Macaca mulatta: one gene and its partners. The protein of the gene in region 2 purifies or fractionates together with the protein of the main gene of each other region. This does not show direct contact. Links are inferred from orthologs where the notes say so. Each region holds a gene or a part of one and is shown on either strand. Other genes may lie near its edges.

Region 1 (4,938 bases), on a different chromosome or scaffold from region 2:
TATAACATCAAAAAGGCAAAGAAGTTTAAGAATCTTGACTTCACTGTGTCCCCACAACACCTGCTGCTTGCTTACATTCAGTGAGCATACAAATAATTTTTGCTGGAAAGCCGATCAGCTCCTGCAATTGCTTTATCCTTAGTTCACAGACTAATCAAAGAGAGTACACTTTGATAGTACACTAATTAGAGCTGTACACTAAAAAATAGTTCTGAAAAAAAGACATCATAATAAATTCTCTCCAACTCTGTGTTTATTATGAAATATTGGCTAAGCGTCCTGAAATTTAATATTCCCCCAAGTGCTATTTAAGACCCTGTCAATTACTTAGTTTCAAAACTAAATATTTTTCAGCATGAACCTTCCACTCCAGCCAGGCTGGTCTCAGTGTTTCCACAATATGTTCTTTCCTAAATACAAGTAATTCTCATACAAAGCCCATGGAACTTAGAGCATTCTCCTTATTTATGAGAAAAGGTCTTATTATAAGTTGCCCAAGCTGGTCTACAACTCCTGGACTCAAGCTGTCTTCCCACCTCAGCCTCCTGAGTAGCCTAGGACTACAGGCAAGCACCACGACACCCAGTTTCTCTTAACTTTTTGAGTTTAACAAATATCATGTTCCTGTTATAGGCCTGTTTCCGATGGTACTTACACATTGGTTTTAAATTTATGCAGCTGGGGCACTGGATTTTTGGCTCGCATTTCTAGCACTTCCATGTAATGAGGCTTCTTCTGAGTCCCACTAGAAAGGTCTGTCAAGTTCTTAGTACTTGCGTTTTCTTCTGACTGTTGTTCACCTTGGTCTGCAATGGTGATCCTCTGTAACCTGTCAATAAACAGGTTGTCAAAGCTGCTGGAAGTATCTTCTGCTTGACTTGAAACACGACGCTGCGGGTGATGCTCACTAGCTTCAGATGAAGACGGTACCCTGTCTCTGTTGCTGGAAGCTGGGCCCTTAATCACTGTGTATTCAACCTCTGGAGTCTCTCCATCACCTTCATGAGTAGGATGTCCAAGTCCCTGGTTTTGTGAGGTTGTTTTAGATGACTTGATATTATCTACAGAGGAACACCCAGGAACTAGTGATGAAGTATCAAGTATCGGGTCAGAATTCTGGGCCTTATCTGTACCCACATCAACTTCTGCAATTGCTTTTTGCCTTAGCTTACAGTCTAAACTAACAGGGTGAAACAGTTCACTTTTTCTTCTAACTTCTTCATGTTCTGCAACAGCAGCTTTCAGTTTGGCAACAGAGTCAAAGATCTTTTTACCTTTGTCGGGCAATTTGCAAATGAATTTTCTGTCAAATGGAAAAGAATACATACACATTACAGCCATGTTTTTAACTTGACATATAACATTAAAAAGGCAAAGCATTATCTTCAAAGAAAGAAAAGCTGATTTTTAAGTCAAATATCTGATTTCTAACTGCCCCAAAACAGGAATAAAACAAATAAAACGGTCATTATCCAAACAGCACAAAAAAACAACGGAATGCTGGAATAGGGAATATATGCCTCATTTGTCTCAGCAAATTAGAATTTCGGCAAAAGTATTTTAAGCATGTAATAATCACATAAGACATTCTAAGAACCAGCAGTCATTAAAGTGCAATCCCCACAATTTGGGGATGGGGTGGAGTGTGGGGATGGGCCTATTATTTTAAAACTACTTTCATAATAATACTAAGATGTTATTTCCCTCTCATTTTCTCACATGGGTACAGCGGAGTTTTCCAGTGGCTACATGACATATGATGACATCATTGTTCTAGAATAGAATGTGTGCTTGTGTATGCTTATGTTTTAAAGACTTCAGCTGTATTTCTGATAAGTAAATAAACTTCACTAGACAGAACACATAAAATAGTTCTTCGGGATGTCAAAAAATCTTAAAGTATAAAGGAGTCCTGAGACCAAAAAGTTAATTCACTACTACAGATTAAAAACCTATTCTCACAAGGTAAAAACACCTGCCTTGATCCCAATCAATTATTTATTTGTCCCTTTTGCTAGATGACAGAGTTCCTTTTTTGATTCTCTTTTCTTTAATTATACAATAAATGGAGAGAAAAATCTTAGGTCCTTTGTTCTTTTTGACACTACATTCATTCCCACTATTTCAACTATTAACAACACTCTACAGCTGAAATTCCTATGTTTTCTATATTTTTCCAGAGTTCTCTCTTTCTTGAGCCTAATGACAACTTCTCCAGCTTTTAAGTGTTTGGTTTTCAATTAGTCAAATGTCTGTCCCGCTCTCCCCTCAACTCTGAACACCCTATGTAAAATCAACCACGGATCTATTCCTCTCCCTGAATATTCCTATTTTTGCTAGTGGTCTTCCATACAAATTGGAAAACTCAGCCATCTCTGTCAACTACATTTAAATGACTCTATGCTTAAAAGTTCTCCCAATCCCTTCCTAGTTCACTTTCTTACAACTGTCTCGTGGGGAGCCTCTCTGAAAATAGCCATCTACTGTCTCCCGCTTTTTATTCCTTCAAACCATCTTTTGCAACAAGCTGCTAAACAAAGCTGCCTGAAAAACAAAATCACTTTTATCACGTGGCTCCCTTGCTAAAATCCGTTAAATCAACCAGCTGACTGGGGGTCGAACTTTCCCGGCCTAATAAACGCCTCTTCATATCCCACTCTTCCCATTTCCTACGGTTCCTGTAAGCGTAGAATCCAGAGACGAAGCTGACAATTTGTTATGGGTTAGGGGTGCGGGCGACAAAAGGGTTTAGAATGAAGACTCTTGCTTCATGGAACTAACACAGTCCCCGGGTAAATAAAACCAACGAGGGGCTACTAACTGCCTGCAACAATAAGTAGCCGTTCAGTCCGAGCCATCCTCGCAGGCCTACGTGCCTGGCCAGGAAGAGGCACGGCTCTGCGACAGCAAGCCCTCCGTCCACTCGCCCGTAGGACTGAGGCGAATGTGACTGAGGCAAGGTCACCTTCCAGGGAAGGAAACAGAGTGGGGGAGGGGAGGGGAGCGCCCAGGGAGCTCGAGCTGAAGGAGCCTGGCGGAGACTCCGCGGGACCCCAGCTTACTCGTTGCGCAAAAGTCTCTCCTGGCGCTTCAACATTTCCCGCAGCTCCACCAAACTCCGCTGCCCCAAGTCCTCGGGAGCTTGGGGCTCGAAGCCGCGGGGCAGCGAGGACATTCTGCACAGGCTGAGGCTGGCGCGGCGGCGGGCACTCGGCTTCCTCGGCAGGCCCCGCTGCTAGCGCCGGATCCGCGGACTGCGGTGACTCCGGGGCTCGAGCGGGAGTCGCCATTTTCCCGGAAGAACGGGGTCTTCCTCGAGCCGAATCGAGCTTTATTGAAATGCCGGAAACAAACACGGACCGGGAGAAGGGGGCGTCCGGAGGAGCGCTAAAGGGCGGAAATTACGTTGGAGGACGCCGGCGCCTGGGTTTGGCGCCCTTTCCCCTCGTGTGAGCATTCATCCGGTTGTCAGCTGTTCATAGGTTTATACAAAAAGTATTTGGCGCCAGCGTGACCTCACCAAGCACTATGTGTTAGTCAACAAAGAGCCACGTCCTCTGTTATAGTTGGGGTTTACAGAGTTGGCGCGGGGGACGGAGGGACGGAGAATCAAATAATATAATAGTGACGTTGGGGTGGGCACCTGGGAAGGTATCTCTGAGAAGTGAAATACAAGTCGAAACCTGAAAGATGAGTTGGCCGTTAATAAGGTAGAGGAGAGTGCGGGACAGGATTTGGGAGACTCCGGCCTGTGTGTGGTGCCTCCTAGCTCAGCTTAGGGACGTCCTGAAATGTTAAAGTTGGAAGGTTCCTTAGAATCAGCAATTCTTTTCGGGGCTCATTGCATTTGGAGCAGGACTTCATTTGTGGCACTGCCTCAGGCATTGTTAAGACATTTGGTGTTTCTGGCTTCTGCCTGCTAGGTGCCATGGCACTCCCAAGTAATTGCAAAAATCCAAAATGTCTCCCCCAACATACATTTCCAAAGGCCCACAAGAGGTGATGAGGGAGTGGGAGCAGCTGTACAAACTGGTTGAGGACCTTTTATAATTTTCTACTTTGCCTGTAGAAAAAGAGTCATGAAAACTGAAATAAATATTCCCAGGGCACAAAACCAGTAAGTGACAGCACCAGATTTCAAACCCAAAAGCCCAGCGGCTTTTCCAACACACCAATTTGAAAATTCCCTTCTTCACTTTAGGCCTATCTCCAAATGTGCAAAATTGTTGAAAAGACTTTTTTTTTTCTTTCCCCCAGCTGTTGAGAAGAAGACAGTTTAGTAAGTATTGGACACAGCTTTTAGTTTCTTGTTATAGTTCACCTACCAGAGATGCATCCCAATGGAAACAGTAGGAAGACATGCAGTCACAGCAGATATCACTTGGGAGGTTTGAACACCCCCATAACCTCCAAAACCACTGCCCTCCCCCGATTTTTTTATATAGGAAATTGAAGTTGTCTCAATCCTATGTAAGATGCTATATTAACACAAGCAGCTCCATCCCAAAGAGACAGAAGATCTAGGTAAACTCCAAAGCTATTCCAGGGAGCACAATTGCAACCATTTTTTTATCCCCCCAATCTAGTCCATTCAGATCAGATTCATTAGTATATCAAAATAAGTTTTCTCTGTATAAGACTTGCTTTCAAGGATGTTAATAACCTGCTCCAGCATTGGCTGAATGAGAAATAGGTAAGCTCCTCGAGTCAGTTGGTTGTCTGTGGTGTCAACAAAAAAAAAAAAAAAAAAAAAAAAAAAACTCCATAAAATATTGAAGAGATGTATTCTGTGCTAGATATGAGTGACCATGGCCCATCACACAGCCCTCAGGAGATGCTGAGAACACATGCCCAAGGCAGTCGTTGCACAGCTTGGTTTTATACATTTTAGGGAGACATGAGACATCAATCAAATACATTTAAGATAAACATTGGCTT
Region 2 (4,803 bases):
TTCCTGGGCTCAAGCAATCCTGCCACCTCAGCCTTCCAAGTAGCTGAGACCACAGGTGCACACCACCATGCTAGGCTAATTTTTTAAAACTTTTTGTAGAGACAGAGTCTTGCTATGTTGCCCAGGCTGGTCTCAAACTCCTAGGCTCAAGCAATCTTCCCACTTCTGCCTCCCAAAGCACTGGGATTATAGGTGTAAGCCAGCACACCCAGCCCTCTTCTCTTTTTTTTTAAGCTTTCATTTGTATTTATTTATGTATTTACTTTGAGACAGAATCTTGCTCTGTTGTTCACTCTGGAGTGCAGTGGTGCAATTTCAACTCACTGCAACCTCCACCTCCCACGTTCAAGTGATTCTCATGCCTCAGCCTCCCGAGTAGCTGGGACTACATGCACATGCCACGATGCCTGGCTAATTTTTGTATTTTTAGTAGAGATACGGTTTCACCATATTGGCCAGGCTGGTCTTGAACTCCCAACCTCAGGTGATCTGCCCACCTCAGCCTCCCAAAGTGCTGGGATTACAGATGTGAGCCACCATGCCCAGCCTAACCTTTCATTTTAAAGTATTAAAGAGCTTAGGCCTGTTAGTCCAAGATTTGAACACCTGTTGGCCACATGATCTTGGCCAATACACTTAACTTCTTCTAAGCTTCAGCTTCTGTAAAAAGCACCCACTGGCCGGGGGCAGTGGCTCACGCCTACAATCCCAGCACTTTCGGTGGCTGAGGCAGGCAGATCACCTGAGGTCGGGAGTTTGAGACCAGCCTGACCAACATGGAGAAACCTCATCTCTACTAAAAATACAAAAATTAGCTGAGCGTGGTGGCGCATGCCTATAGTCCCAGCTACCTGGGAGGCTGAGGCAGGAGAATCACTTGAACCCAGAGGCGGAGGTTGTAGTGAGCCAAGATTGTGCCACTGCACTCCAGTCTGGCGACAGAGCTAAACTCCATCTTAAAAAAAAAAAAAAAAAAAGGAAAGCACCCACCTTTTAGTCATTGTGAGTCTCTGCACTTCACCTGGCCCACAGTCACTACTCAATCAACACAGGCTTTTATTGTTATGACTATTAATGTTGACTCTTGCCCTCTGAGTTGGGCAGGGAAGATTACCATACAATTTGAAAGTGCAGCACAAGAAGTAAAGTGATGGCCAGGCGTGGTAGCTCACACCTGTAATCCTAGCGCTTTGGGAGGCCGAGGTAGGCAGATTGAGCTCAGGAGTTCGAGATCAGCCTGGGCAACATGGCAAAACCCTATCTCTACTAAAAAAAATACAAAAACTTAGCCGGCCATGGTGGCACCTGCCTTTAGTCCCAACTACTTGGGAGGCCGAGGCAAGAGACTCACTGGAACCCAGAAGGCAGAGGTTTCAGTGAGCCAAGATGGCACCACTGCACTCCAGCCTGGGCGACAGAGCAACACTCCATCTCAAAAAAAAAAAAAAGAAGTAAAGTGACTTAGCTGAAGGCACAGTTATGAAGTGGAGCCAGGACCCAACCCAGATCTACTGAGAGACTACCCCAATGCCTCCCCTACGTATGGTCTCACCTTGTTGACCTGAGTTACAACAGCATCCACGACCTCCCCTTTAAAGGGCCGGAAAACAATGGCCTTGTACTTAACTGGATAAAGGACAAAGCCTCGGCCTGGCTGGATCACACCAGCACCAATATTGTCAATGGTGGTGACAGCAATTACAAAGCCATACCTGCAAGGAGGATGAGAAACAGAAAGACATTGTGTGTCCAAGAGCCTCTAGAGACATCTGCAATAAAAGTCACTGAGCTCTTGGGAGTAGTGTCGGGGAGAGCAAAAGGACAAGTAGATAGCACCTCTGCTCCCAGAGAGCTTAATGACCAAGAGAAGACAGAACACAGATCAGTATGGGCCGGGCGCGGTGGCTCAAGCCTGTAATCCCAGCACTTTGGGAGGCCGAGACGGGCGGATCACGAGGTCAGGAGATCGAGACCATCCTGGCTAACCCGGTGAAACCCCGTCTCTACTAAAAAATACAAAAAACTAGCCAGGCGAGGTGGCGGGCGCCTGTAGTCCCAGCTACTCGGGAGGCTGAGGCAGGAGAATGGCCTGAACCCGGGAGGCGGAGCTTGCGGTGAGCTGAGATCAGGCCACTGCACTCCAGCCTGGGCGACAGAGCGAGACTCCGTCTCATAAAAAAAAAAAAAAAAAAAAGAACACAGATCAGTATGTATAAGACCAAATGCTGTTCTGGTAATTTCACAGTAAATGTACAAGAAGGCTGGAGTCCTTGAGGAAACAGATCTCAATCTTCGGGATGCCTGAGAATCATCTTCTTAAAATGCAGATTCTCAGGTCTGCCTCACAGAGTCTTGATTCTGTAGGGAATAAGGAGGCTCAGGAATCTGCATGTTCCTGCAGGTTTTTCTGATGCTGGAGGCCCAAGTACTCCACTGCCCTGGGCTGGGTCCCAGCTCATTAATATCACAGAAGGCCCTCAGTGCAAAGCCCAGAGATGGTCAAGTCCCAGTCTACTTCCTTCCTCCCCCAAACTTTCGATCCACTTTTTCTGGTCATCCATTCAGAAGATATATAGAGGCCCACGGTGTGTGGTCCCTGGACACAGGGGATAAGAGAAAACCAGCAGAATGACAGAGTGAGAGGAGACACAGGAACAATGACTACACTGTGAGCTCCACAAGAGCTGGCCTCATTCTATCTTGTTCCCATTCTACCTTGTTCTGAGCCCAACACGGGTCCTGGCACACACCAAGTGTTTTTAAAATGTCTGAGGAGTAAATGAATGAATGACCAATCTCAGCTGAGGGAAGGAAGTCTTATTGTCCAGCATTGCAGAGGGCGCCCTGGGAACCCAAAGCAGGAAGCAACTGGCTGCCTGAGAGGGTGAGCGGGGTCCCTAGAGTGGGTGGCAGGACTAATAGGAGTTGCGGATGGTTTGCAGGTATAGCGACCCGTGTGCGCATCGAACGATCTGGCGGCGCGGTGAGCTCGGCACTCACTTCCCTGTGCAGGTCCCCTCCACTTCGGTGAAGAGCTTCTGCTTCACCGTGTTGAGCAAGTTGGGGCCGAAGTAGCGCGGGTGCAGCAGGATTTCGTGCTCTAGGGAGATCTGCGGAGAAAAGAGGGATGGCGACCAGGCCACGCGCTGGGAGCTTATCAGACGACAAGGGGAGCCTCGCGCCGGCGCCTGGCCTTGCTCCTCCTTTCCACCCAGCCCTTGCCGCCACCCTGGGCCCTGCTCACATGGTAGAACATCTTCCCAGAGCATGAAGGCAGGAACAGTCCACACCTCCGACCGCCCCTGGGAATCTACCGGAAACACACTTAGCCGCCGCAACCCCAGTTCCGCGCCTGCTGCGACGTTGAGAGCGGAACTCCACCTCCTCCGCGAGGGCGGAACTCCACCTGCTCCACGGGTCTGATTGGGCCTTGTAGCCGTGGGCGTGAACCACTAAGCCCCGCCCCTCACCACCGCCCCGCCCCCCCACCGGCCATCAAACCACAACTCTCTTTTTTTTGTTTTGAGACGGATCTGGCTCCGTCTCCCAGGCTGGAGTGCAGTGGCGCGATCTCGGCTCACTGCAAGCTCCGCCTCCCGGGTTCGGGCCATTCTCCTGCCTCAGCCTCCCCAGTAGTTGGGACTACAGGCGCCCACCACCGCGCCCGGCTAATTTTTTGTATTTTTAGTAGTGACGGGGTTTCACCGGGTTAGCCAGGCTGGTCTTGATATCCTGACCTTGTGATCCGCCCTCCTCAGCCTCCCAAAGTGCTGGAATTACAGGCGTGAGTCACAGCGCCCGGCCAATTTTGTGTTTTTAGTAGAGATGGGGTTTCTCCATGTTGGTCAGGCTAGTCTCAAACTCCCAACCTTAGGTGATCCACCCACCTCGGCCTCCAAAAGTGCTGGAATTACAGGCGTGAGCCACTGTGCCCGGCCAGCAACTCTCTGAATTGCTTGAACCTGGGAGGCCACTGCACTCCAGCCTGGGCAACAAAAGCGAAACTCCATCACAAAAAATAATAATAAATAATAGCTACCACTTACTGCTTTCTTCCTAAATGCCAGACACTGTGTTAAGCCCTTTATATAATTATCTCCCTTAATTCTCATAATAATCTACAGAAATTGGTGTAGAAATAACAAAAAATTTACATGAGCCTTAGTCGAAAGGCCAGGAAGCTACAGAAAATAATGAAATTTAGGCTGGGCGCAGTGGTTTACGCCTGTAATCCCAGCACTTTGGAAGGCGGAGGCGGGCAGATCATGGGGTCAGGAGATTGAGACCATCCTTGCTAACACGGCGAAACCTCGACTCTACTAAAAATACAAAAAATTAGCCGGTACTCAGGAGGCTGAGGCAGGAAAATCGCTTGAACCCGGGGGGCGGAGGCTGCGGTGAGCTGAGATCGCGCCACTGCACTCCAGCCTGGCAACAGAGCAACACTAAGAAAGAACGAAAGAAAGAGAGAGAGAGAAAGAAAAAATTTAAAAGCTATTGCAATCCCAAAAAACATTTTAAGCCTCGAGAGAGATATGACTGTGAGTCACATATAGTTTACAACTTCTGTTCTCAGATTATAGATTAATTCACTTTCTTTTTTTTGAGAGGGAGTCTCGCTGTGTCACCCAGGCTGGAGTGCAGGAAATCCATGACTATTTCATCCTCTGTTAAAAAAATGTTACATACCCCCGGCACGATGGCTCACGACTGTAATCCCGGCTACTTGGGAGACTGGGGCAGGAGAATTGCTTGAACCCGGGAGGCAGAGGTTGCAGTGAGCCGAGATCGTGCCACTGCACT
Region 3 (5,042 bases), on a different chromosome or scaffold from region 2:
AATAAATGGTTAGGTTATGGACATCAGATGCACGTAAAAGACAAAAATCAACTGTTCTTATAGTATGTAAATAGTTATTTGTGGTTTGGGGTAAAGTTTCTCATGTTAGCAAATACCATTCAGAAGGTTAACTCTCAACTTAGATGATGATATCTACAGGAAAACTGATAAAATAATCCCTATTCCCCTCCAAATTTATCTACTCAGCTTAACCAGAACATGTCTTGAATCTTCTCGTTGGGAAAACGCAGGGGTAAGTATTACTTCATATTTGTGATCACTCTATAAATTCCTCTAAGGAAAGTATTTTAATATATTAAGACAAATAAAATCAAACAGTTGTTATCAATTACGAAAAACTATGTTGAAATAAAGGAAAATGTTAGCAGAGTAGTACTAATTACAAATGAGTAAAAGAGGAGGCCACATTAAACACAGTACTAAGAACTAACACTCTGCACTATTAAAAAGTAGACAGAAAACTCTAGTTCATGTAATGATACAGAAACATCTGAAAGATATGAAGAGTGAGGAGTAAGGTAGAAAATCTATACAAAGCTGAAAAGTATAAACTAGCCATACACTGTAACATGGATGAACCTCAAAATACTGACAGAAGCTAGACAGCAGAATACATATGCCATTTATGCCAACTTCAAAGCAGGCAAAACAAATTGATGGTGTTAGAAATCAGGATGCGGTTTTCTCAAGGGAGGGGGAATGACTGAGGACAGAGACTTTGCTAGTGTCTTAGCTAGTGCTAGTGGTATCTGATTTCCTTACCTGGGTAGTAGCCATGTATGTGCTCACTTTGTGACTGAGCTGCCCACTTTTAAAATCTGCGTGCTAATGTCATTAAAAAAAGGTAAAAGCAAGGTAGTGAATGGAGTTTAAATCAGGTCACTTTTGGGGAGAAGAGAGGTTAGAACTATTTGTATACACTTGTTAAATCATAAGCACGAGGAAAACACCAAAAGACTAGTAACTATGGCTGATCTGGGGAGACTTGAGAGCCTACTTTTCATGGTTTTAGTCTATTGTAATTTTGCTTTTGGACCATTTGTATGTGTTACCTATCAAAATAAAAGTATGCTAAATTAGTAAACTTTTAACCAAATTACCCACAATACAAAAGAGGAACCATACAAATGGGGTGGCGCAGGTGGTAACAGAGAGAAACAATGGGGAGGAATAGGGAAACCACCACCACTGACATTAAAACATCTAAAGTACCAGATAATCCCAAACCCCATTTTAGAGCTATCATTTATTGGGTATGCACTGTATTGCTGGTGTTACACATTCATTATTGTCAATCTCCACAGCAATCCTGCAAGAAAGGCCTATTTCCCATTTTAAAAGATTATGCTCACAGAATGATTTGCCTGAAGTCATGGAACTAGTAAGTGGCGAAGCTTACATTTGAACTCAAAATATTTGTATTCTTCTGTGAGGTCACCAGCCAGTTTCACGGCCTAGCAACAATACATCTTCCTGAGGGAAAAACATGCAAAAGATAGAAATAATATATTTAGGCTGGGCATAGTGGCTCATACCTGTTACCACAGCACTTTGGCAGGCCAAAGTCGGAGGACTGTTTGGGCCCAGGAGTTCGGGCCCAGCCTGGGCAATGTAACTAGGCCTTGTCTCTACAAAAATAAAAAGTAATAAAATTAAAAAATAAAAAAATTAGCCAGGCACACTAAAAAAATTAGTGTGCACCTATGGTCCCAGCTACTCAGGAGGCTGAGGTGGGAGGATCACCTGAACTGGGGAGGTCATGGCTGCAGTGAGCCATGATTGTGCCACTTGCACTTCAGCCCAGGCCTGTTCCAAAAAATAAAAAATTCTACATTTAACTTTGTCACTGATAGAAAAACTTGAGCAATAACTGCCATGATACATAAATTGCACATATCTAGAAAAAAATTCAGACTTAAAAAGCCATGACAGAATTTAAGTCATATTTGAGTGATTTGGGAAGCCAAAGTTTTCTATTTACCTACAAGGAGGCCTCACCTGACAGACCACCACCCAGACAGAATGAGCATCCAATCCAAGAATCAGAATCAGTAAACAAGAGTGTCACTGGCTTTATAAGTTCTGTTCAAACAGTACATTAGCTAAAGCGCATCCCACCCCAAATTCTTTTCTTCTAACCATAAAATGTAAGTCTTGGCAGTTACCAGAAAAGGCTATTTTGTAAAAATGGCTTTCACTGTGAAATTAACCAATTTCACAGCTGATAGGGTCAGAAAAATGGTGCCAGAGTTCCAGAACCTGTAGAATTAATTTGATACTTTTAACACAGCATTAGTTAACCAAAGGCCAGGTGTGGATAACAAGAAACAGGTTATCTTAGACTCTACACTCTAACACTATCCTTGGTAAAGTCAACATTGGCATGACTCAGTTTACACTTACGCAAAAATACTAATATCTACCTCATAGTGGTAATGAGAGATATAATTAGGGTCTGCAAGCATTTTTCAGGTCACAAGATTAAAGGCTGTCTCTGAGGGTACTGCATGCATTTCCTGTAGATATGAGTACATTGCATTTTTAAATATATACTGAAGAGCAACCTCCCAGCACACATAACTAAATTTCTTATGCAAGATTTTCTTCAGAAGGACACAGGCAACGATATTTGTAAACAAATCCTTTAGCATGGAACTAATCAACTCTTCCGATGGCTCTAACTTCCACTTTCGAGGCCCGCTGTGATGGTAACCTGGTTCCATCTGGCTTACCAATGCTGACGTTCCCAACTTCCTAGCTGTCAGATCGATAGGGACCCGGAACCAACTATTTCCCGTTCCTTTGAAAAGGAGAAATTACGGACCTCGGGTTGTTTGGGCCGTAGACGAAAACAACAAGCTGGGGGAGGGGCGGAGGTAGAAGGAGAAGAAAATAAAGGGAGGTTGAAATATTCAGAAAAGACGAGGACAAGGGCTAGGGACACAGAAGCCCACCAGGACCCACAAAGGGTGATGTCTACATGAGAAGACGACATAAGACTCCGAAGCAATAACGTCAACAGCTGGGTAACCCCTCCGACACCCTGACAGTCCTGCCGTCTGGAAGTGCCTTTGTCCCGGCCGGTCGGCCAGTCCCGCCGCTTCTCTCCCATACCCCTCGGTGCTTAGTCCGACTAGGCTGCCCGGAGGCCGCCTGAAAGCCCGCGGCGCTCGCGCCCGCCCCTCAGCTCGCCGGGCTGGGCCGGACATACTAACCGGCTGGTAGACGCCATCTTCAGGGCCACTGCGGTGCCCGCAACAAGCCACAACAGATCCGCCGAAAACAGGAAACGAGTGTGGCGAAGAGACGCGCAGAGATGAGTTTTTATAGACGACTCACCCACGCAGTCGTAACAGAGCGGGGCTACGGGTCGGGAGAAGGGCCAAGAACAGTGAGATCCCATACGTCACGCGCTTTGAGATTTCTTACGTTTTTATTCCGTTTCTGTAATTTGCTATGTTGCTAAGCGAGTCAACGTAACTGCCTAGGAAGAGTCTCATGGGAACCCTGCAAAGGGGCTACAACAGAGCTACTCTCAATCTGACAGAGTTAAAACACGAAGAAAACCCTGGCTTCGTAGTGGTGCCAAAGCCTGCATCCCTAAAAGTCTAACCACCCCTTCCTCTCCCACCTTCTCACCGCCACCCCCCGGCCCCAGTACCCCACCCGGCTTCAGGCACTCCCATTTGAGCCGGTTCTTACGTGCCCCAAGGGTGATTCTTTCTAAGGAATTCAAAATAAAAAGAGAAATTCACTTAGGTCATCCAGAACAGGTGTCTCTTCAGGCTCTGTCATCAACTAGCATGTTATCTTCTTAGGCACGTCGTTTTGATACAGGGTATGTAGGTTTATATAGGTTATAGTATCTTGCCTTGCATACCCTTTTAGAATTGGCAGGAGATGAAACAAAATTACGTGAGACCAATGTGTGCATGAGAGGCACGACGATATGGGTCATACTCTGATCATTTTTTTTTTTCATGGCCTTTGCAAATTTGGCTGATAGCTACGTATAGAAAACTTGGCAGAACATCTAGATAATGCAAAATATCCCTAGATTAGCCAAATTAACGTCAAAATAGTAATACCACTACTACTAACAACAATAACACTGGTGGAGGGTGTTCAGGTTCTTGACGTTTTGAACAAAGAACTGGACAAAACGCACAAAGCAAGGAACGAATGAAGCAACAAAGGCAGATTGAAAACGAAAGTACACGCCACAGAGCGGCAGCGACCAGGGCAGAGGAGCTCAAGACTACCTTTACAGAATTTTCTGGGGTTTAAATATCCTCTAGAGGTTTCCCATCGGTTACTTGGTGTACACCCTATGTAAATGAAGTAGTGACTCCACAATCAGTCTGATTGGTTGTGAAAAGCAACCAATCAGAGGCTAAAGAGAAGTTACAAAGTTACACTCCTATGCAAATGTCTGATTGGTTGCTTTCTGCAACCAATCAGAGATACTTTCAATTTCCCATCTGCCACACAGAAAAAGTGTGTGTGTGTTGGGGGGAGGGGTGTTGAGAGGGGGGTATTGGGGGGTATTGTATGTGGGAGGGAGTTGTAGGGGGGTTGTGGGGGGGAGGGGGTTGCAAAGGGAGTAGTGTCTGGTTCTTTTGTTACTTAGGTGTGGAAAGTTGGGGTTTTCTTTTTGATTCAGTTCTAGGAAATCAGTGTGAATCGGCCTTAGGTTTCCTGCCTCCAGACCCTTTTCTCCTGCGACAACACTGCAGGAGAAAACTAGTCTTGGAAATATGGGGATTGGTAGAGAAAGTGCTTGGTGGTTTTCATGGGGCTGAGAACTTAGAAGACTGCTTCCTTTCTTTGGGGATGGGATTTAAATCTAATCGAGCACTCATTGTTTTCTTGAGAAGGTGGGAGATACTAGCTTCCTTAGAAAGAAAAAGGGGTGTGCAAGAGGCAGGATTTTAGGAACTCAAATCTAGGTGGGAACCGGGGAGCATTTCTTTTTTCTTTCCCAACCCCAATCTTCTGTTTTGTAATTCTGTCACTTTAAT
Region 4 (5,003 bases), on a different chromosome or scaffold from region 2:
ACTGGGCTGCAGATTCAAACCTGACTTAGACTCATGGGTAACTCTGGGGAATTTACTTCTCCACTCTGCCCCTAAACTTTCTTGTCTCTAACTGGGATGTCCTCCATAATCACTAAGGCTCCTTACTGCTCTAACATGTGACAAGTGGTATTTAAAGGGAAGACTTCTGGTTACATAGTGTAACACCTAACACAGTGTCTCTACCAGGACTTGTACAATCCAAACAAACCTTTAGGTAGGATGGTCAGGGATGATGTCTCTGAGTAGGGGATATCTGAGTATATGATAATGAGCTTGCCATCCTAAGGGGAAGAGCATTCCAAGATGAAGGAACGCCAAGGTCAATAGTTTGGAGGTGGCTATCAGTTTGTAACGTTTGGTTTAGATAATTCTTTATCCCTTATGTTGTTGTTACCATACTATGTTAAAATCTGGGGCTGGGTGCAGTGGTTTACGCCTGTAATCCCAGTACTTTGGGAGGCCGAGGTAGGCAGATCACCTGAGGTCAGGAGTTCAAGACCAGCCTGGCCAACATGGTGAAACCCCGCCTCTACTAAATACACAAAAATTAGCCGGGCGTGGTGGCATATGCCTGTAATCTCAGATCCTCGGGAGGCTGAGGCAGGAGAATCACTTGAACCCAGGAGGCGGAGGTCGCAGTGAACTGAGATCACACCACTGCACTCCAACCTGGATGACAGAACAAGACTCCCGGCTCAAAAAAAAAAAAAAAAAAAAAAAAAAAAAAAATTCTAGGCTACTTGTCTGTGTCATCCTCTGTTTAAAGGCAGAGATGTGTCATTCAGTTTCCCAAGCACAGGGATTAGCACAATACCTACTACATAATAAATACTTGATAATTATTTCTAATTGACTTATTATGTTTAAAGATAAGCTCCACAGGGCAGGGATTTTGTGTGTGCCTGTTTTTTTCCCCACACAACCTCCAGGGCCCAAAACATGCTTGGGAGAAAGAACATACTCAACAAATGTTTCTGATAGTAGGCATCAAAAGCTTATAAAGATACTTGTTTAACACAATCAGTACAAAAATTAAAATAGACTATAGAAAAAAAAATCCATTTTGCTGTCCTCTCAGTGCCTTTACACATACTGTTGTCTCTGTCTGTATCTTTTTTTTTTTTGACAAAGGGTCTCACTCTGTCACCCAGGCTGGAGTGCAGTGGCACCATCATATAGCTCACTGCTGCTTTGACCCAGGCTCAAGCGATTCTCCAGCCTTAGCTCCCCGAGTAGGTGGGACTACAGGCTCTGGCCACCACACCCAGCTAATTTTTGTATTTTTGGTAGAGACAGGGCTTCACCATGTTGCCCAGGCTGACCTTGAACTCCTGGGCTCAAGTGATCTGCTGGCCTCAGCCTCCCAAAGTGCGAGGATTACAGGCTTAAGCCACCACACCTGGCCACATCACATTGTATCTTAATTGACAGGTCATTATTTGTCTTCCCCAAAAGACTCCAGACTCTGGGTAAGTTAAAGGTCATACGTATCTTAGTTACATGTACATGTTTTTTACTCAGAATAACTCAACAGCTTAGAACAATGTGTTTGTTAAAAACTAAGGCCACACAACACCTCCACAGACTCTAGTGTTTCCCAGTTTTTCTTTTTCTTTTTTTGTGACAGTATCTCTGTCACTCAGGCTGGAGTGCAGTGGCACGATCACCACTCACCACAGCCTCAACCTCCTGGGTTTAGGTAATCCTCCCACCTCAGCCTCCCAAGAAGCTGGGACTACAGGTGCCTGCCACCAGGTCTGGCTAATTTTTGCATTTTTTTGTAAAGACAAGAGTTTCCCCGTATTGCCAAGGCTGGTCCCAAACTCCTGGCTCAGGCGATCCGTCCACCTCCACCTCCCAAAGTGATAGGATTACAGGCGTGAGCCACCACGCCTGGCTATGTTTCCCACACATCTGTTATTTGATCCATATCTTCACCATTCCCACTGTATTTGAATGTTCCTAACATTTCCTTAATATTTGTTTACAAGAAAAAATTTTATCCCTACTGTAAACTGAAAACCAGTTATATTTGACATAACGTGAAGTTAGACATAAAATTATATAAAACTTTTAAATGTTCTTAATTTTAGCTAAATACAAGTGCCTATTAAAAGCTCTGAGACTAAGAACTGCTCTCTGAAAAGACCTGAGGATTAAATAAGTGCTGAAGATACACACTAGCACCGAGCACAATTTCTCCTAAATGCGAAGAACTGAAAGAGAAATGAAAAGGCAACAATTTCCTCAATACATGATCTGATGCTCCTTAATGTTGGGTCCATGTACCACCTAAAAGCACCTTAAATACCAAAAGTCCATGTTCCAAGTTCTGAGAAACAGTAATTAACGAGACCCCACTTTACCCTTCTGGGAGCGAAACAGGGCCGGATTCTGGAGTTTAGACAAAACTGGATTTAAATTTTTTTGCTGGGCAAAGAACTTAACCTTTCTGTGTCTCGTTGTCTGCAAAATGAGAATGAGATCTCTCTCACAGGGTTGTTGTAGAAATCAGCAAGGCGTTTAATCTACTGCCTGGGGCTTAAGTATCCAATAAATATTAACAACTACCATTATTTCCCTTTCAAAACAACAACAAAAAACATGAAGCCAGACAGCATAAATGAGTTGCGTGGGGTCTCAGGGTTCCCAGTACACATACCCGCCGCCTCGCTCCCTCAGGATCCAACCTCCCGCCTCCCATGAACCCCTACTTTTCTCTCCTTGTCCCCTCAGATCCTCACCTTCCCGCTGCCCGCGGGGCCCATGACGAGCTGCGCATACCGAGGCATGTCGGCTCCCGGAGCCGCCCGCCACACTCCCTCAGCCTTCGCGCGACGCCCACTGAGTTCCGGGAAAGTGAAGTGCGAACCAATCGCAATCCACATTCTTTCTACGTCTCCATTTCTACCACACCTCCTTCTACGGGACAGCCCGCGGGCCAAATCCGGTGAGAAAAGCATCCTGAGACAAAAGTGGAGGGGTGAAGGAGATGGTATGCGCGTGCGCAGAAGTAGTTGTTGGAAATCGGCCGTTGGGATGCAGCCTAAGCTTGGATACCTGGGTAATAACGGATAACAGATAAAGCTCCGCATCCTTGAGCCGCGTGCTTCGGTCCGTGGTTTGCGTGCAGACTTTTGACCTATATGGTGACCCTCGCGATTTGCAAATGTGTTGAGGATCTGGAATACTGAAGTGGAAAGCACCTCTTGTTTTGGGGAGCATGTATATTTCCCTCCTGTGACGCACTGCTTCCACAGAGGTGCAAACGTGCAAACGCTCAGCTACCGCAGCGCTCCTGCCCCTCCCCCACCGTAACTCCGGGGTCGCGGATCTGCCCGCCCCGCTCTCCCGAAGCTCTTCGGGTAGTGTCCGAACGGCTTCGGAGGGGCGAGAAGCCGGCATCTGAACCGCCTCTCCGGAATACCAGCCGCCTGACGCACGCGTGCTGTCAGGGAAGGGACGCTGGGACAGCTGCTCCCGCACACGGCTCGCGGTCTCGGCGCCGCGGAGATGCCGGGCCAGGGTCCTGGGTCCGACTGGACGGAGCGTAGCTCTTCTGCAGAGCCGCCCGCAGTGGCCGGGACCGAGGGTGGCGGCGGCGGGTGAGGTTGGGGGCCCCGGGGCAAGGGGTGGCAGCGTGGGGCCCCCGGGTCGTGAGCCCCGTGAGGAGGGCTGCGGCCGGCCGTGCGTCTCGGGCTGGCTCCGGTGCCCTCAAGTGAGAGGCGGGGAACAGTTGTGTTGTGGACGGGAGGGAAGAGGGGAGGACTGCCTCGCGGTTGAGGGAGGGCCTCTGAGGGAAGCCTCGGAGAAGCGTTTGGTGCAGTGGCCACGAGGTGACTGCGACAGTCGCCCGCGTGCATCTCTCTGCCCCGAGGGGGCGCTGCGAGCCCTACTGGGACATTTGCTGTCTGGCACAGGACGGTGTGTCCACCGAAAGGCGAGGCGGCGGGAACAGAGGAGGAAGATGTCCCCCAGTTCAGCTGGGGGCGTCCAGGCCCATAAACTAGTTCCTTCCCTCTTGTGACATGAGCCACCTTTCTGTCAAACGGGGATTTCTTTCTTTTTGTTTTCTTTTTTTTCTTTTCTTTTCTTTCTTTTTTTTTTTGAGTGTGAGACAGAGTCTCGCTCTGTTGCCCAGGCTGGAGTGCAGTGGTGCGATCTCGGCTCACTGCAACCTCAGCCTCCTGGGTTCAAGTGATTCTCCTACCTCAGCCTCCCGAGTAGCTGGGATTACAGGCGCCTGCCAACACTCCCGGCTAATTTTTGTATTTTTAGTAGAGACGCGGTTTCACCATGTTGGCCAGCTTGTGCCGAACCTCTGACCTCAAGTGATCCGCCCGCCTCGGCCTCCCAAAGTGCGGGGATTACAGGGTGAACCATTGCGCCCGACCTCAAACGAGAGTTTCTAATCGCCAGTGAGACCAATGACTGAATATCCAAGGTGCCCTGATCTTGACATTTTTCTTCACATACTGAAGTTCCTTTTTTCACAAATCTATTTCGTCTTGAGCAGGTTTTTACACCTATTTCCTGGATAGTGAAGACAATGAGCTGTTGAAGTCACTGCTGGAGACTCTACCTCCTCTTCCTCTCCCTCCTTTATTTCCTAAAAGCAAGAACTGCGATATGTTTGCCGTTCAGTACAACCCACAGTGCCCTGTTGCACCCGTGGCCATCCTTTTTTGTTTTTGAGACGGAGTCTCGCTCTGTCGCCCAGGCTGGAGGGCAGTGGTGCGATCTTGGCTCACTGCAAGCTCTGCCTCCTGGGTTCATGCCATTCTCCTCCCTCAGCCTCCCGAGAGTAGCTGGTATTACAGGCGCGTGCCACCACGCCCGGCTAATTTTTTGTATTTTTAGTAGAGACAGGGCTTCACCGTGTTAGCCAGGATGGTCTCCATCTGACCTCCTGATCCACCCGCATGGCCATCCTTTTTGTATCTGGTGCTACTGAAGACTTCTTAAAGATGGGATGGAGTCTT

Evidence for each region. The genes of interacting proteins can lie anywhere in the genome.
Region 1: the proteins of POLR2G (region 2) and POLR2M purify together in Homo sapiens (affinity purification with mass spectrometry; 4 studies listed by BioGRID and IntAct, counting the BioPlex papers as one, with this or other methods). This does not show direct contact. The link is inferred for Macaca mulatta from reciprocal best matches to the Homo sapiens genes POLR2G and POLR2M.
Region 3: the proteins of POLR2G (region 2) and GTF2B purify together in Homo sapiens (affinity purification with mass spectrometry; 3 studies listed by BioGRID and IntAct, with this or other methods). This does not show direct contact. The link is inferred for Macaca mulatta from reciprocal best matches to the Homo sapiens genes POLR2G and GTF2B.
Region 4: the proteins of POLR2G (region 2) and GPN3 purify together in Homo sapiens (affinity purification with mass spectrometry; 3 studies listed by BioGRID and IntAct, counting the BioPlex papers as one, with this or other methods). This does not show direct contact. The link is inferred for Macaca mulatta from reciprocal best matches to the Homo sapiens genes POLR2G and GPN3.

Annotation. Positions count from the first base shown.
Region 1 is NC_133412.1:35,009,504-35,014,441, reverse strand, and holds the start of POLR2M (protein GRINL1A), read right to left. Parts: upstream 3,305-4,938; 5' UTR 3,176-3,304; coding exon 3,063-3,175; intron 1,304-3,062; coding exon 656-1,303; intron 1-655.
Region 2 is NC_133419.1:11,297,250-11,302,052, forward strand, and holds the start of POLR2G (DNA-directed RNA polymerase II subunit RPB7), read right to left. Parts: upstream 3,361-4,803; 5' UTR 3,270-3,360; coding exon of another isoform or gene 3,257-3,269; coding exon 3,245-3,256; coding exon of another isoform or gene 3,111-3,244; coding exon 3,001-3,110; intron 1,713-3,000; coding exon 1,553-1,712; intron 1-1,552. UniProt on the Homo sapiens protein: Core component of RNA polymerase II (Pol II), a DNA-dependent RNA polymerase which synthesizes mRNA precursors and many functional non-coding RNAs using the four ribonucleoside triphosphates as substrates.
Region 3 is NC_133406.1:151,711,616-151,716,657, reverse strand, and holds the start of GTF2B (transcription initiation factor IIB), read right to left. Parts: upstream 3,305-5,042; 5' UTR 3,254-3,304; coding exon 3,237-3,253; intron 1-3,236. UniProt on the Homo sapiens protein: General transcription factor that plays a role in transcription initiation by RNA polymerase II (Pol II). Involved in the pre-initiation complex (PIC) formation and Pol II recruitment at promoter DNA.
Region 4 is NC_133416.1:117,634,426-117,639,428, forward strand, and holds the start of GPN3 (GPN-loop GTPase 3), read right to left. Parts: upstream 3,305-5,003; 5' UTR 3,247-3,304; coding exon 3,082-3,246; exon of another isoform or gene 3,037-3,081; intron 2,868-3,036; exon of another isoform or gene 2,814-2,867; coding exon of another isoform or gene 2,766-2,813; exon of another isoform or gene 2,736-2,765; intron 1-2,735. Other genes in the region: protein FAM216A, read left to right, coding at 3,535-3,626. UniProt on the Homo sapiens protein: Small GTPase required for proper localization of RNA polymerase II (RNAPII). May act at an RNAP assembly step prior to nuclear import.